Linked DNA regions of Caenorhabditis elegans. The protein of the gene in region 1 purifies or fractionates together with the protein of each later gene. This does not show direct contact. Each region holds a gene or a part of one and is shown in the gene's direction. Other genes may lie near its edges.

Region 1 (4,876 bases):
CTTCTTCTCTCCTTACGCTCACTTTCAAGGCTTGATAATTTCCGAAAAACAGACAGGCTCCTGCTGCTCCTCTTGTCTGCTCAATTACTCGAAAGGGTCCTCTCGTCTTCTCTTTCAAAAAAGTCGTTCTTTTGCCCGCCCTATGTCTTTCAGGATAAATAAAATAGGCCCGTCGGTCTTGTGTGTGTGTGTCGTTGTTTAGTGTGGTGTTACGTCTTCTTTTTCTCCATTCCCTGCTGCATCTCCTTTCATCGCCATCGTTGTGACGACGACGTAGTCTTCGTTGTCTGTTTCTGCTCCGTTTAATTCCAATTTACTAGTAGCTTCACCTCCTTTTCAAACTCTGCAAATGTCTGAAGATTTCGGGTTTTTATCTGCCCTGACTCGTCTTGTCTAGTCTACGGAAAATCGGAAATTCGCTTGCAGTGTCTCGTCGTCTTTATTCGGAAACGACGCTTACAATTGGAAATTTCCGATTTGCGAAGTTCATCATGTGATATTGTTCGGGGTATACTTTTTTGACAAGTGCCATCTTGTGATGCTATTTGTTTTTGACATTTTTTACTATCCGAGCTGAAGTGTTTTTGCACAAGATCCTATTAAGTTTAAGCTCACAAGTCGAGGAAGGTTTTATTATTTTTCTTTTCTTTAACGGTGCATTGACAGCGAAGAAAGTTACCGATTCCTACTTGAAAAGGTTTAGTGTACTGATCAGGTGTCCTAATAATATAAAAAGGATAACAAGTTTTGAGCTATAAAACCCCTTGCCAAAAGACTTACCAACAGGGGTTTAGCGTTTTTCAAACTTCCCAAGCGGTTCTAGAACACAAAATCTATTAGCGAAACCCCATAATATATGCATTTTTCCAAAAATCATATTATTCAGACGTTTAAATATGAGCATTTTCGGTCTCGCCAGGTTTCGCCACGCGGTCAACGACTTACTGTAGATCATGCCGATAAACTTCTTTCAGTAACTCGTTTTCCGCGTGGTGAGACCTTTGCGCGTAAGATATGGCAAAAACTCACATTTTCAAACGTATACGTGATAGCTAAAACGAAGCGTGGAGTTCAATTTATATAGCTACTAGATTATACAATTCGCTGAAGCTCAAACTCCTAAACCTGAAACAGAGAAAAAGTTATAGTACGTTAAGTGCATTTCTACTAAAAAACCAAACTGTAGGAAAATCCAAAAAAAACCACATGTGTACATAAAAAATTTCTCAAAAGTTTTGAGAAAACATTATAATGAGGGGGGTTGAGCTGGTTGAGCTTGCTATGACAAATTTGAAATATCGCTTCGAGACATTGTGACTACCGAAACATTATTTTCTTGAATTCTAGAGTCCTTAGCTATAAAAGTAGTCACTGCTGCTCAATCCATTGTGCAACCCTTCACTTTCCGGTTCTTTCAACTCGGTTACTTCTTCTTTTTTTTCTGTAAATATCTCTACGTCTATCCAATTTTCCATATTTTTACTCGTTCACTCTTCAATTCGGAGACTTTATCTCTTTTTCTCTCTCACTCTTTATTTCTTTCGCTTTATGGTCCTTTTGTAGTCTTCTAACCCTAGTCAAAATACGTCATCAAATGAGCCATTCTCACTCACTCAACCGCGCATTCTATCTCTCTGTTCATTGGCGTATCTCGTCTCTTCAGAATAACATCCTTCAACTTTTTCGCCACCATCATTGTCAATTTGAGATTTAAATATTTTCTATTTTCTTTCAAATTTTCACAAAGTTAACATTCCAGAGACTTTAAAATCACAAAACATGGGTAACCAATCAACTAAATCAACACACGGTACCACACGGGTATCTCATTCAAAGTCAGCTCATCATAATTCAAGTAGGGTCACCAGTGACGTCATTCCAAGATCAGCTTCAGCGATTTCTTCTCATGGTGAGTGTTAGTCTAGAATTATGAAAAATAAACTTCTTTTTTCAGAGAGATTTTTCTCTGATTCCCAATCATCCTCACCTCCGGCAGTCTGCCCAGTATCCGCTCCAGGAAAATATCGAAATTTTCCAGGTAAAACTGCCAATAAAAACTATTGAAATTAAATATATTTTCAGGAAAAGACGTTCCGCCAATTTGTCTAACTGATGAATACAATAATTCAGACGATGAGGTTTTCTGTTCGACACGGACTTCAAAACAATCACCTTTGGCTACAGGTAAGAGTTTTTATACGGAATAATCTGTTTTTCTAATGACCGTTTTCTCACTTTGAAAATATATTTTGGTTGAACTATGTAGTTTTTAAAGCAACTGCTCCAAATATAATAAAGACGATCGAATTTTTATGTGGAAGGCACAAAACAAATAACAAAAACGGTAAATGCACACGGGCGCTGCGCGAGCGCCAGAAGACCCGGGGAAAAATGTCTAGTCCTCAATATGCTCAAAATCCCAAATCTGAAATCCATAGATTCAACAAAAAGTATCTTCAGGCTGTCCACGTCAGAATTTGGGCTCTCCAGGCAATCGGCGATCAGTGGATTCAACAAATTCGGATTTACTTGAAGCAGTCACACCTCGAAGCCAGTGGGTTTTATCACATTTATCCTTTTTATCAAAACATCTCTTTTCCAGTATATCTGTGAAACGTACAGTCAGCAGCGGGACAGAGCATGCTCCAGATCATGCGAATATGCAAAAGAGTAGCTCCTTGAAGTTTACCAGACCAGGTGTTCGGAGTGAGACAAAGGAGACAACTCCATCGACTAGCTCAAATCGTAAGATAAAAATATTTGTCAGTTAGAATGATTCATGAGATACAAATTTTAGCAACAATGTTCCCATGCATTCATCAATTTCTTCACCTTACGCAGCCTCAAATATTGTTTGTGAGGAAAACTTGGAATCATGCAAGAAATCAAGGCGCCCTGGAACCAGCGATCAGTATCTTTCGAAACTCGTTTTTCAAAAATCCCGAAATTCGGCAAATGATAATGTTTGGAACTAAAAATGAAGGACATGAAAGGTTAAAGAAACATGCTCAACTATTTACTGTACTTATGGATGACCTAATTGCAAATCTTGATTCACCGTCAGCTACAGTAGCTGGACTCCGAGAGGCTGGTGAGAAACATGTTTGGCCAACAAGAAATCAATGTGAGTTTTGAAACATTCTGCGCTTTGATCTGATCACATTTGACAGAAATCTATAAATAAATAAATTTAATTGAATGTCTAAAAAATTATACTCCAGATACTCCGGATCCATTTTCCGATAATTCTTGATTTGAACCAGCTCTGATAAATCGATGCTGATCGATGTCCAAGTCAGTTAAAACGACGCAGGTACACCCAGCTTCGACATAATTCGACGTCTATTGGACTGACTTTGACGTCGATCAGAATCGATTTACAAGAGCATCGTGTGCGGCAATTTCCCCGAATTTGCCATTTTTTGAGCTCGGCAAGTTGGACAAATTTGCCCAACTCGGGAAGTTTCAGCTTTATTAGGTCGAGCTTTATTAGTTGTACGGTTAGAAAAAGCATATAAAAATGAATCACTGCATTAAAAAACCCCCAGAAATATTTTCAATCATATTTTACCAATTCCCTCCTGTTTCAGACGGCTGCCCATTCCACGCACATCTTCTTGACCAGTTTGCAACTGCAATGATTGAAAGAACTTTGGAATGGGGAGAAAAGAAAGATCGAACAGAGGTTAACCTAATAGAAACTGCATTCAGACAAATATAATTTGTTCCAGACAACTCAAAGAGGATGGACGAAAATTGTATTATTCGTGACAGAACAACTGAAGGAAGGTTTTCAGGATGAACAGAAGAGGGCAAGACGGATAAAGGCTCAAATTGTACAGTTTTATTGAAATTTTAGTTACAAAAATAAATTTTTAAAATCTTATATTTTTCAGAAAACCAGCGCGGGAAGCAGTTCTTTCGAAATATCAACAAAAACGAAGCAAAGCGACATGAAACGATTCCATACATTGGATAATATGTAAAAAAGCTCAATTTGTGTGATTTCTTTTCAGGGTCATAGGTGATAATTAATAATCCGGTTTCCAATTGTTATGAGCATTTTTTTTGTTATAAAGCAATTTATTGAATAAAATGCCATTTATTTTTTCATAACCATCTAGTAGTGCCTCCACATGAATGTGTCGTTGCAGGTGAACAAAGAGCATTGTAGAACCACCAAATGTATGCATACACAATGCAATCTCTTTCTCTTCCACTCTTTGGCACTTTCTTTTCCAACTCTTTATCAAGTTTTTGGTTCGAATCAATATGCTATACGGTCCCACGCGTCATGACTTTCTTGTCTTTCGGCTGACTATTTTGTGTATCGATTTATGTTGTTTTGTTTTCTCAAGCTTTTGTAACGGGGCTTCTGGATAAATTTAGTTCTTTAAAAAACATAAGCCGATAGAAAAATGCTTTAAGAAAATTTTCATATCATTTTTTAACTGACAGTCTGCTGGTAGTTTGCTAAATGAAGACCTGTTTGTCAAATTCGAACATTAAAAAAAATAATTTAGAAATACACATTTGACCAACTTCTCTAAATTTTCCATTTCTCAAAGTTAGAATTTTCTATGTTTAAAAAAGTAGATGGTGTGTGTTCTTGACTAAAATATATTGAAACTGGACGAAATTTCTCAAAAATGTTTCTGAAAAACTTTTCGGATATTCAAAATTTTGAAAAGAAAACCGATTTTTCTAAAATCTGAAATTTCACCAACTTATTTTTGTTGAAGCTGATGGAAATTAACATTTAATTTTTAGCAGATTATGCCTATTCGAATTGTTTTCCCGGGTTTTTTCCATTGATGTAGGCGCTTTTTTTTAATATGGAAAACGTTCCGTTTTTATCTAAAGAAAACTTTTTAAA
Region 2 (7,312 bases), on another chromosome or scaffold:
AATGTTTTTGTGAGTGTTTTCCAATATCAATTGAAAAGTTTTGAACAACAACTTGCCACTTGGCCGTTTCGCACTGTTGGTTATGAATCCCAAAAACCTGAGGGCAGTGTTTACTTTTTCAACTTACTGTTTACTCGCATTAACAATCAACATTGTATTAGTTCCCTGCGTAGTCTCTTTTTTCAAATTTTAAGGAGTAGAGTCAGTGAGGAAATTTCTTTAACACACGCTACAGTGACCAAATGTTATGGTAATTTTTTAAAGTTTCAATTGATTTTTTGATTTTTTGAAAATTGGAAAAAAAATTAGAAAATTTTTTTGAAACTTTCTTTTATGATATTTGTCCATTGTGGTACCGTAGGCGTGTTTTTTTTTTAAATTTTTCCACTAGCTCTATTCATGTTTTAAATTGATTTATTTTTGATAACTAGACACAAATGACATGACGGATAAGAAATCAAATCTTTGTGCTCTCTCCCCGGCCCTTACGTTTTCTTCCTTCTCAATCCAAAATGCGTTTTGGCACGTCGAAAACATTGAGCAGTTGGAGAAACGAGGGGCAAGGCAGAAGGGCCGCGCTTTCGTTTTTTTTGCGTTGTCTTCTCTCGATCTCTTTCTCCGTGTTACGCATATTCTCTCGCACTTTGCTTCTGGCTGCTTAGTTTTTTTCCCTTGCTGAAGGCTGAAAAAGTGAAGAAGAAGAAAACACACCAATCATTCATTCAATCCAGTCGATTTGATAGGAAAATGTAATTCACAATTTTGGTTTTCATGTTTTGTTTCTGTTGTATAAATACATTCAGTTGTCTGGGTCCCCTGCGTCAAGATCAAAAGTGCATCCCCCCTCTAGGGGCTTCTTTCGTGTATTGCATCATGTGTACTTGCCATAGCATATTTCAAAGTCGAAACCTTTTATTTTTGGCTTTTTTCTACTTTTCTTTTTTCCCATGCGTTCGTCACACTCATTATTTACTCTGCATCTTTTCTCTCTCCATTTCAATCACTATCACTTCTCACTTGGCATCATTCATTGTTTTCTTATACCAAAGGAACTAAATAAAACGTTTGTTTGTTGAAGTTTCGGTATTATTTTGAACGTTTAAACTTAATATCTACTCAAATGGATTAAACTAATTCAATAAACTTTTATGGCGGTTCAAAATTTCGAAAAAACATGGCCTAATTTTAGTTAAAATCTTCAATTTTGGCAATACTTTTTTTTTGATTTTTCAATCCTCTGTTGCATATTTGGTCGTTCATCTCTTGTTTTTTTTTTGATTATAGTACAGTTAAAGCCGATAGGTGACCTATTTTTTTTTATTTTAGGTTACCTATCAGCTGTAAATTACGTATTTCCTCTAATAGTATATCATCCAATTACTTTACTCCAAAAGGATATATCTATGTTCGTTTAAAAAATATCAATAAACTGTCAACTGCAAATATATAGAAAAAAATAAAAATAAGTGTTTTTTCAGTTGATCAGTTTTCAATAAAACAAACGCCAACTGAGATTTAAGCTGTCAAAGTTGAGTAATGGAGTGCAATGTATACTACATTAGAAAAAATACGATGTATCCTAATTAACGAAATGAAGTCAAGCTATGCCATTAAATATAATAATTTGAAAAAAAGTTAATTTCTTCGGACCGATGCAACACGAAAAAATGGACAAAATTAGAGATTTTAGCTGAAATAGGTTTTTTTTTGAATTTTTAAATTTTTAAAATTTCAAACCGACATAAAAAATTTTGAAAAAAATTTGGAAGTTTCATTACAAAATTCATTGAATTTAAAATGTCCAGAACCACTCAATGCTCCTCCTATAAAAATAATAATTAAAAGTTGACCTTCCACAGGGTAATATGACCGCGCGCAGTTGTTTGTTTCTGTGTTTTCCTTGTTGTATCTGCGTCGCGCACTTTCTAACCACAATGGTCCCTGCCACACTGTATTACGCGCATTCATTGTCCGCATCGATTAATCAGTTTTTGCTTGTCAACATTTTTCTCTTGCAGTTCTCAGATTTATCCTTTTCTTCTCAAAATTTTTTCATTCTTCTCATCCCATTTTTCTCATCCTTCGTGTTAAATACTATTGTCATAAATTACAGAATTTTGCATAATTCGAAATGGACGCGGACGCATCAACAATCACGCCAGAAGAGCTCGACTTTATCCGTCAGCGAGCTTTGCGCCGCTTCGACTCAATCGTCCCAACTGCTGGAAGAGAAGGAACTGAGATTGCGTCGGATATTTTCAAGGGACGTACTCTCGCGATTTACACGTCCGGAGGAGACTCTCAAGGTACGAATGAATTAGGGCAAAATTTGAAATTTTGACCTGCCATGAAAATTTTGTGTGGAGTCTCCATATAAAATTCATTTCACTTTTAATAAAATTCAAACTTTTCCTTGTAAGAATACGTTTGAAACTTTATTTTCCAGGTATGAACAGCGCTGTTCGAAGTATCACAAGAATGGCTATATACTGTGGATGTAAAGTGTATTTGATCTACGAAGGATACGAAGGAATGATTGAAGGTGGAGATTTCATCAAGGAAGCCACGTGGAACACCGTTTCCGATATTATTCAGCAAGGAGGAACTATCATTGGTTCCGCAAGATCTTCCGAATTCAGAACTCGTGAAGGGCGTCTCAAGGTGAGAAAATAATTAGCCCAATAAAACAAATTTTTGAAAGTTTTGAAAGTTAAAATTAAATTTCCAGGCAGCCACCAACCTGATTAATCGTGGAATTGGTCGTCTTGTATGCATTGGTGGAGATGGATCTCTCACTGGAGCCAACACTTTCCGTTTGGAGTGGACCGATCTTGTGCAAGAACTTGTGAAAAATCAACGAGTCACTGCGGCGGCTGCGAAAAAGATTCCTTACATTCAAATTGTCGGACTTGTCGGATCCATCGACAACGATTTTTGTGGAACCGACATGACGATTGGAACCGACTCGGCACTTCAAAGAATTATCAGTTCTATTGATGCTGTAGTCGCAACTGCACAAAGTCATCAAAGGGCTTTTGTTATTGAGGTGATCTCAATTTATCAAGAAAATAATTCATATACTTATTTTACTCTAGGTCATGGGTCGCCATTGTGGATATCTGGCTCTAGTTGCTGCTCTAGCTTCCGAAGCCGACTTCTGCTTCATTCCTGAATGGCCGGCACCGGAAAATTGGCGTGACGTCTTGTGCGACAAACTTTCTCAAATGAGATCAGAGGGTCAACGTCTTAACATCATTATTGTCGCCGAGGGAGCTATTGATCGTGATGGAAAGGCTATCACCGCCGAGGATGTGAAGACTGCTGTCAAGGAGAAGCTGAAATACGATACACGCGTTACAATTCTTGGACATGTTCAACGCGGAGGTGCTCCATCTGCTTTTGATCGACTTCTTGGATGTAGAATGGGAGCAGAAGCAGTTTTTGCTCTCATGGAGATGACTGAGGTTTCTGGGATTTTCTGTGAATTTTTCATTAATGGTTTGAACGTATGAACCAATATGTTTTCAAATTAACAAAAATCTTAATTGTAGTTTTTTTCAGTGCCGCAGCGGCCCGAAGTTGGCTTTTTTGGATTATCGAACTTTGTCGTAAATTTTGTTCCTTCATCTCATATTATTTTGATAGTTAAGGTTAGGGCTTCCTTGTGAGAGAGGCGCGGCGTTGGCGCCTCCACGGGCCTCCCGCCGGACCTCCTTCACCGTCTGCCGCTGTTTCGCAGCTTGGCGTGAAAAGAGAAATTTGACGTGTGCGCAACGTAGTTCGCAAAGATGGCAGCGGTCGACACTTTGGGGGTTCCGCGCCGTACTATACCTGTGGCGCGATTTGCGGCGTGAAGCCGGCGCTGACGCCTTACCGGCGCCACATGGAAGCCCTAGTCAAGGTATATTTAAAACCGGTAGGTGACCAAAAAATGTCAAAAATTAGTAAATGCAATAAAAGATAATAATGCGCTCAAAAAATCAATTTCAGGCAGCTTCGACACCGAAAAAAGCTCAGAATTAGAGATTTTAGACTATTTTTTCTAACATTTTGTACAGTCAAAGAAAAAAGTTTGAACATTTTTTGCAAAGCTTCATAACGAAATTTACAAATTTTTTCGTTTATTTGAGCACATTTTGGGTCTACACTTTCACCGTTCAAACCGTTATTCCTGCTTGAAAGAAAAGAAGTATAATTTTTTTTTATTTCAGGAATCAGAACCTTGTGTTATCTCAATTGACGGAAATGTTATGGTCCGTGTGCCACTTCTCAAGTGTGTCGAACGAACTCAAATGGTACAGAAGGCAATGGCGGATAAGGACTGGACCACGGCTGTGATGCTTCGTGGACGCAGTTTCCAGAGAAATCTTGAAACGTACAAGTTGCTGACTAAGATGAGAACCGTCGAAAAGGACAATCTTTCGGAAGGACACAAATTCAATGTTGCTGTAATCAACGTTGGCGCTCCAGCCGGTGGAATGAATGCAGCCGTCCGCTCTTATGTTCGAATGGCTCTCTACCATCAGTGTACCGTGTACGGTATTGAAGACAGTTTTGAGGGACTTGCCAATGGGTCATTCAAACAGTTCAAGTGGTCCGATGTTACTAACTGGGCAATGAACGGAGGATCGTTCCTTGGCACACAGAAAAGTCTTCCAACTGAGAAAACTATGCCTCAACTTGCTGCTCAACTGAAGAAGCACAATATTCAAGCGTTATTGCTTGTTGGAGGATTTGAAGCGTATCACAGCACAATAATTCTTGCTGAAAATCGCGAAAAGTATCCCGAGTTTTGCATTCCAATGTGTGTCATCCCATGCACCATCTCGAACAATGTTCCAGGTTTGTTTTTCATTATATAAGGTTTTTAAACAATACATTTCTAATTTTAGGAACTATGGTGTCTCTCGGATCCGATACCGCGATCAATGAGATTTGCCAGATGATCGACAAAATCAAGCAATCTGCCACTGGTACCAAGAGAAGAGTTTTCATTGTCGAAACAATGGGAGGATACTGTGGTTACCTTGCCACTCTTTCTGCGTTGAGCTCCGGTGCGGATAATGCGTACATTTTTGAAGAGCCATTCACCGTTCAAGACCTCTCCGATGATGTTGATGTGATTCTCTCAAAGATGGAAGTTGGAGCGAAACGCTACTTGGTTGTCAGAAATGAGTGGGCCGACAAGAACCTCACCACAGATTTTGTGCAGAATCTTTTTGATTCTGAAGGAAAGAAGAACTTCACCACAAGAGTCAATGTTCTCGGACATGTTCAACAGGGTGGATCTCCAACGCCGTTCGACAGAAATATGGGAACCAAGCTGGCCGCTCGTGCTTTGGAGTTTTTGCTCATTCAGCTCAAGGAAAATTTGACGGCCGATAACAAGGTGATCGCCAAGTCAGCCCATACTGCGACGCTTCTTGGACTCAAAGGACGAAAGGTGGTGTTCACGCCGGTGCAAGATCTCAAGAAGGAGACCGATTTTGAGCATCGTCTTCCATCAGAGCAATGGTTAGTGGACAAGTAGTTTGTAGAAAAAACTATTCAATCTCTAGACTAAAAATAACATAATGGAATACAGCATGTCTGTATTCTTGTTAAATATCTAAACCATAAGTTTAAGGGCTATATGCAATACTCGTGGAGCACGATTTCCTCTAGCGTTAGAGCGCACTTTCTGACATCTTACAAACTCGCGCGGTAATTTGTTTCTATCAAAAATCAGTTTCTTTGGCTAGTTTTTGGCTCCTTTAGAAGATTTTTTTTCCGATTTATATTATTGTTATGATTTGTTAAACATTTTCGATATACAAATCGAAAGTGTGTAAATTTAGGAAATTTTGGAAACTGTATCATAACAGTCAGTTTTTCGATTTTAGGCCGGTATTTGGTTGATCATTTTGTAGAGAAGATGCATATTCATGAAATCCCTTGATTACTTATTGATTTGATTAGTTCTCAACATTTAAAATTTGAAAAAATCACGTAGATCTTTATAACTGTGTAATTTCAAAAATCATGAAGTTAATCACCGCCGGATATGAATTGTTTATAATTTCTGTGATGACTGTTTAAAAAAAAAACTTTCGTTCTCGGCCGTAAGAGCCCAATTTTACATGTTTGCCATTCGCTTAATGTTCCTCATAGTCAGCAATAATGTAAATTAAAAATTTGACAATAATTTCCGTAGAACCCAAAAAATATGTTTTCAAAAACTGATTTCCTGTGGAAGCTGATTCCCGCGTATTCGAGAATTTGTTAGTTGTTAGTAAGCGCGCTCTAATGACAATGAACGCTCCTGGACACATTCTGCGATAAATTTCAATTTAAAAATTTCAGGTGGATGGCTCTGCGTCCACTTCTCCGTGTTCTCGCTCGTCATCGTTCGACCGTTGAAAGTTCTGCAATTTTGGAATCTGTTGAAGAAGAAAGCGCCGACTCACACATGTTCTGAAAAGTTTTGATGTCTCCATAGCGACTACTTTTTTCTGTCTGTCATAATACTTTTTTTTGTGTGTTACACTTACTCGGTATTGTAAATGTTCTCATGGTCTATATTAAATCTTTGCTCGTCTAAATTGTCTCTTTTTACTAAGCTTCCATAGGTTCTCACAATTTTTTTTCTCGCCATTCTTTGCACAAGTTGATTGAAGTCTTAGCCCCTATTTCTTAGTAGTTGAAAATATGCCATGATGCAAATAAATGAAGTGTTTTAAAATATGTAGTTATTTTAAAAATATGTTTATTCAAAGTATTTTATCATTAGAACTGTTCCTATGAAAAGTTTTTTTTGTTCCAAAGCTACAGAGGTTTAAAAAAAAATCATCTAAAAGTAGACCCGTGAGATGTCCACCGCTATATCTCCAGTCAAACTTCTGTTGAAAATTTTAGGGGATCTGAAAAAGAAATCAGCAATATTGTGAACAACATTTTGATTAATTTCACTATAATATTTGATCTTTTTGGCACTATAAGTATAGACTATTAATTAATCTAAATGATATTTGTATTTGTTACAAAATCAAGACAAGAATCTTTAATACACAGAAATATATTTTATTTCTAAAAAGTATGTACAAAGTCCATATATCACAGTGAGAAACACTTAAATCTTCATTTTCTTGATCCAGTAACCGACGTCTCTGTGATAGTATCGGTCGTTGATTTTTCAGGCTTAGCATCAGCTGCAAAAGCTGGATCATCGAAGCCAGTACTAGCTGATCCACCACCAAACAATCCACCGGCTCCTGGAGAAGCAACTGGCGCAGTTTGCCCTACAGGTGAGTAGTCTGGTCCGACATTTGAACTA

Evidence for each region.
Region 2: the proteins of glb-6 (region 1) and pfk-1.1 fractionate together in Caenorhabditis elegans (co-fractionation; one large-scale study listed by BioGRID). This does not show direct contact.

The regions. Positions count from the first base shown.
Region 1 is NC_003283.11:5,567,417-5,572,292, reverse strand, and holds glb-6 (Globin-like protein 6), read left to right. Parts: upstream 1-1,759; 5' UTR 1,760-1,779; coding exon 1,780-1,909; intron 1,910-1,954; coding exon 1,955-2,038; intron 2,039-2,082; coding exon 2,083-2,184; intron 2,185-2,460; coding exon 2,461-2,554; intron 2,555-2,602; coding exon 2,603-2,745; intron 2,746-2,797; coding exon 2,798-3,124; intron 3,125-3,590; coding exon 3,591-3,685; intron 3,686-3,731; coding exon 3,732-3,836; intron 3,837-3,896; coding exon 3,897-3,986; 3' UTR 3,987-4,108; downstream 4,109-4,876. UniProt on the Caenorhabditis elegans protein: May play a role as physiological sensor for oxygen via redox signaling and/or electron transport.
Region 2 is NC_003284.9:2,938,759-2,946,070, forward strand, and holds pfk-1.1 (ATP-dependent 6-phosphofructokinase 1), read left to right. Parts: upstream 1-2,113; 5' UTR 2,114-2,131; coding exon 2,132-2,306; intron 2,307-2,446; coding exon 2,447-2,661; intron 2,662-2,728; coding exon 2,729-3,046; intron 3,047-3,095; coding exon 3,096-3,464; intron 3,465-4,211; coding exon 4,212-4,842; intron 4,843-4,892; coding exon 4,893-5,514; exon of another isoform or gene 5,515-6,342; coding exon 6,343-6,457; 3' UTR 6,458-6,720; downstream 6,721-7,312. Other genes in the region: Y41G9A.10 (Prion-like-(Q/N-rich)-domain-bearing protein), read right to left, coding at 7,117-7,312. UniProt on the Caenorhabditis elegans protein: Catalyzes the phosphorylation of D-fructose 6-phosphate to fructose 1,6-bisphosphate by ATP, the first committing step of glycolysis.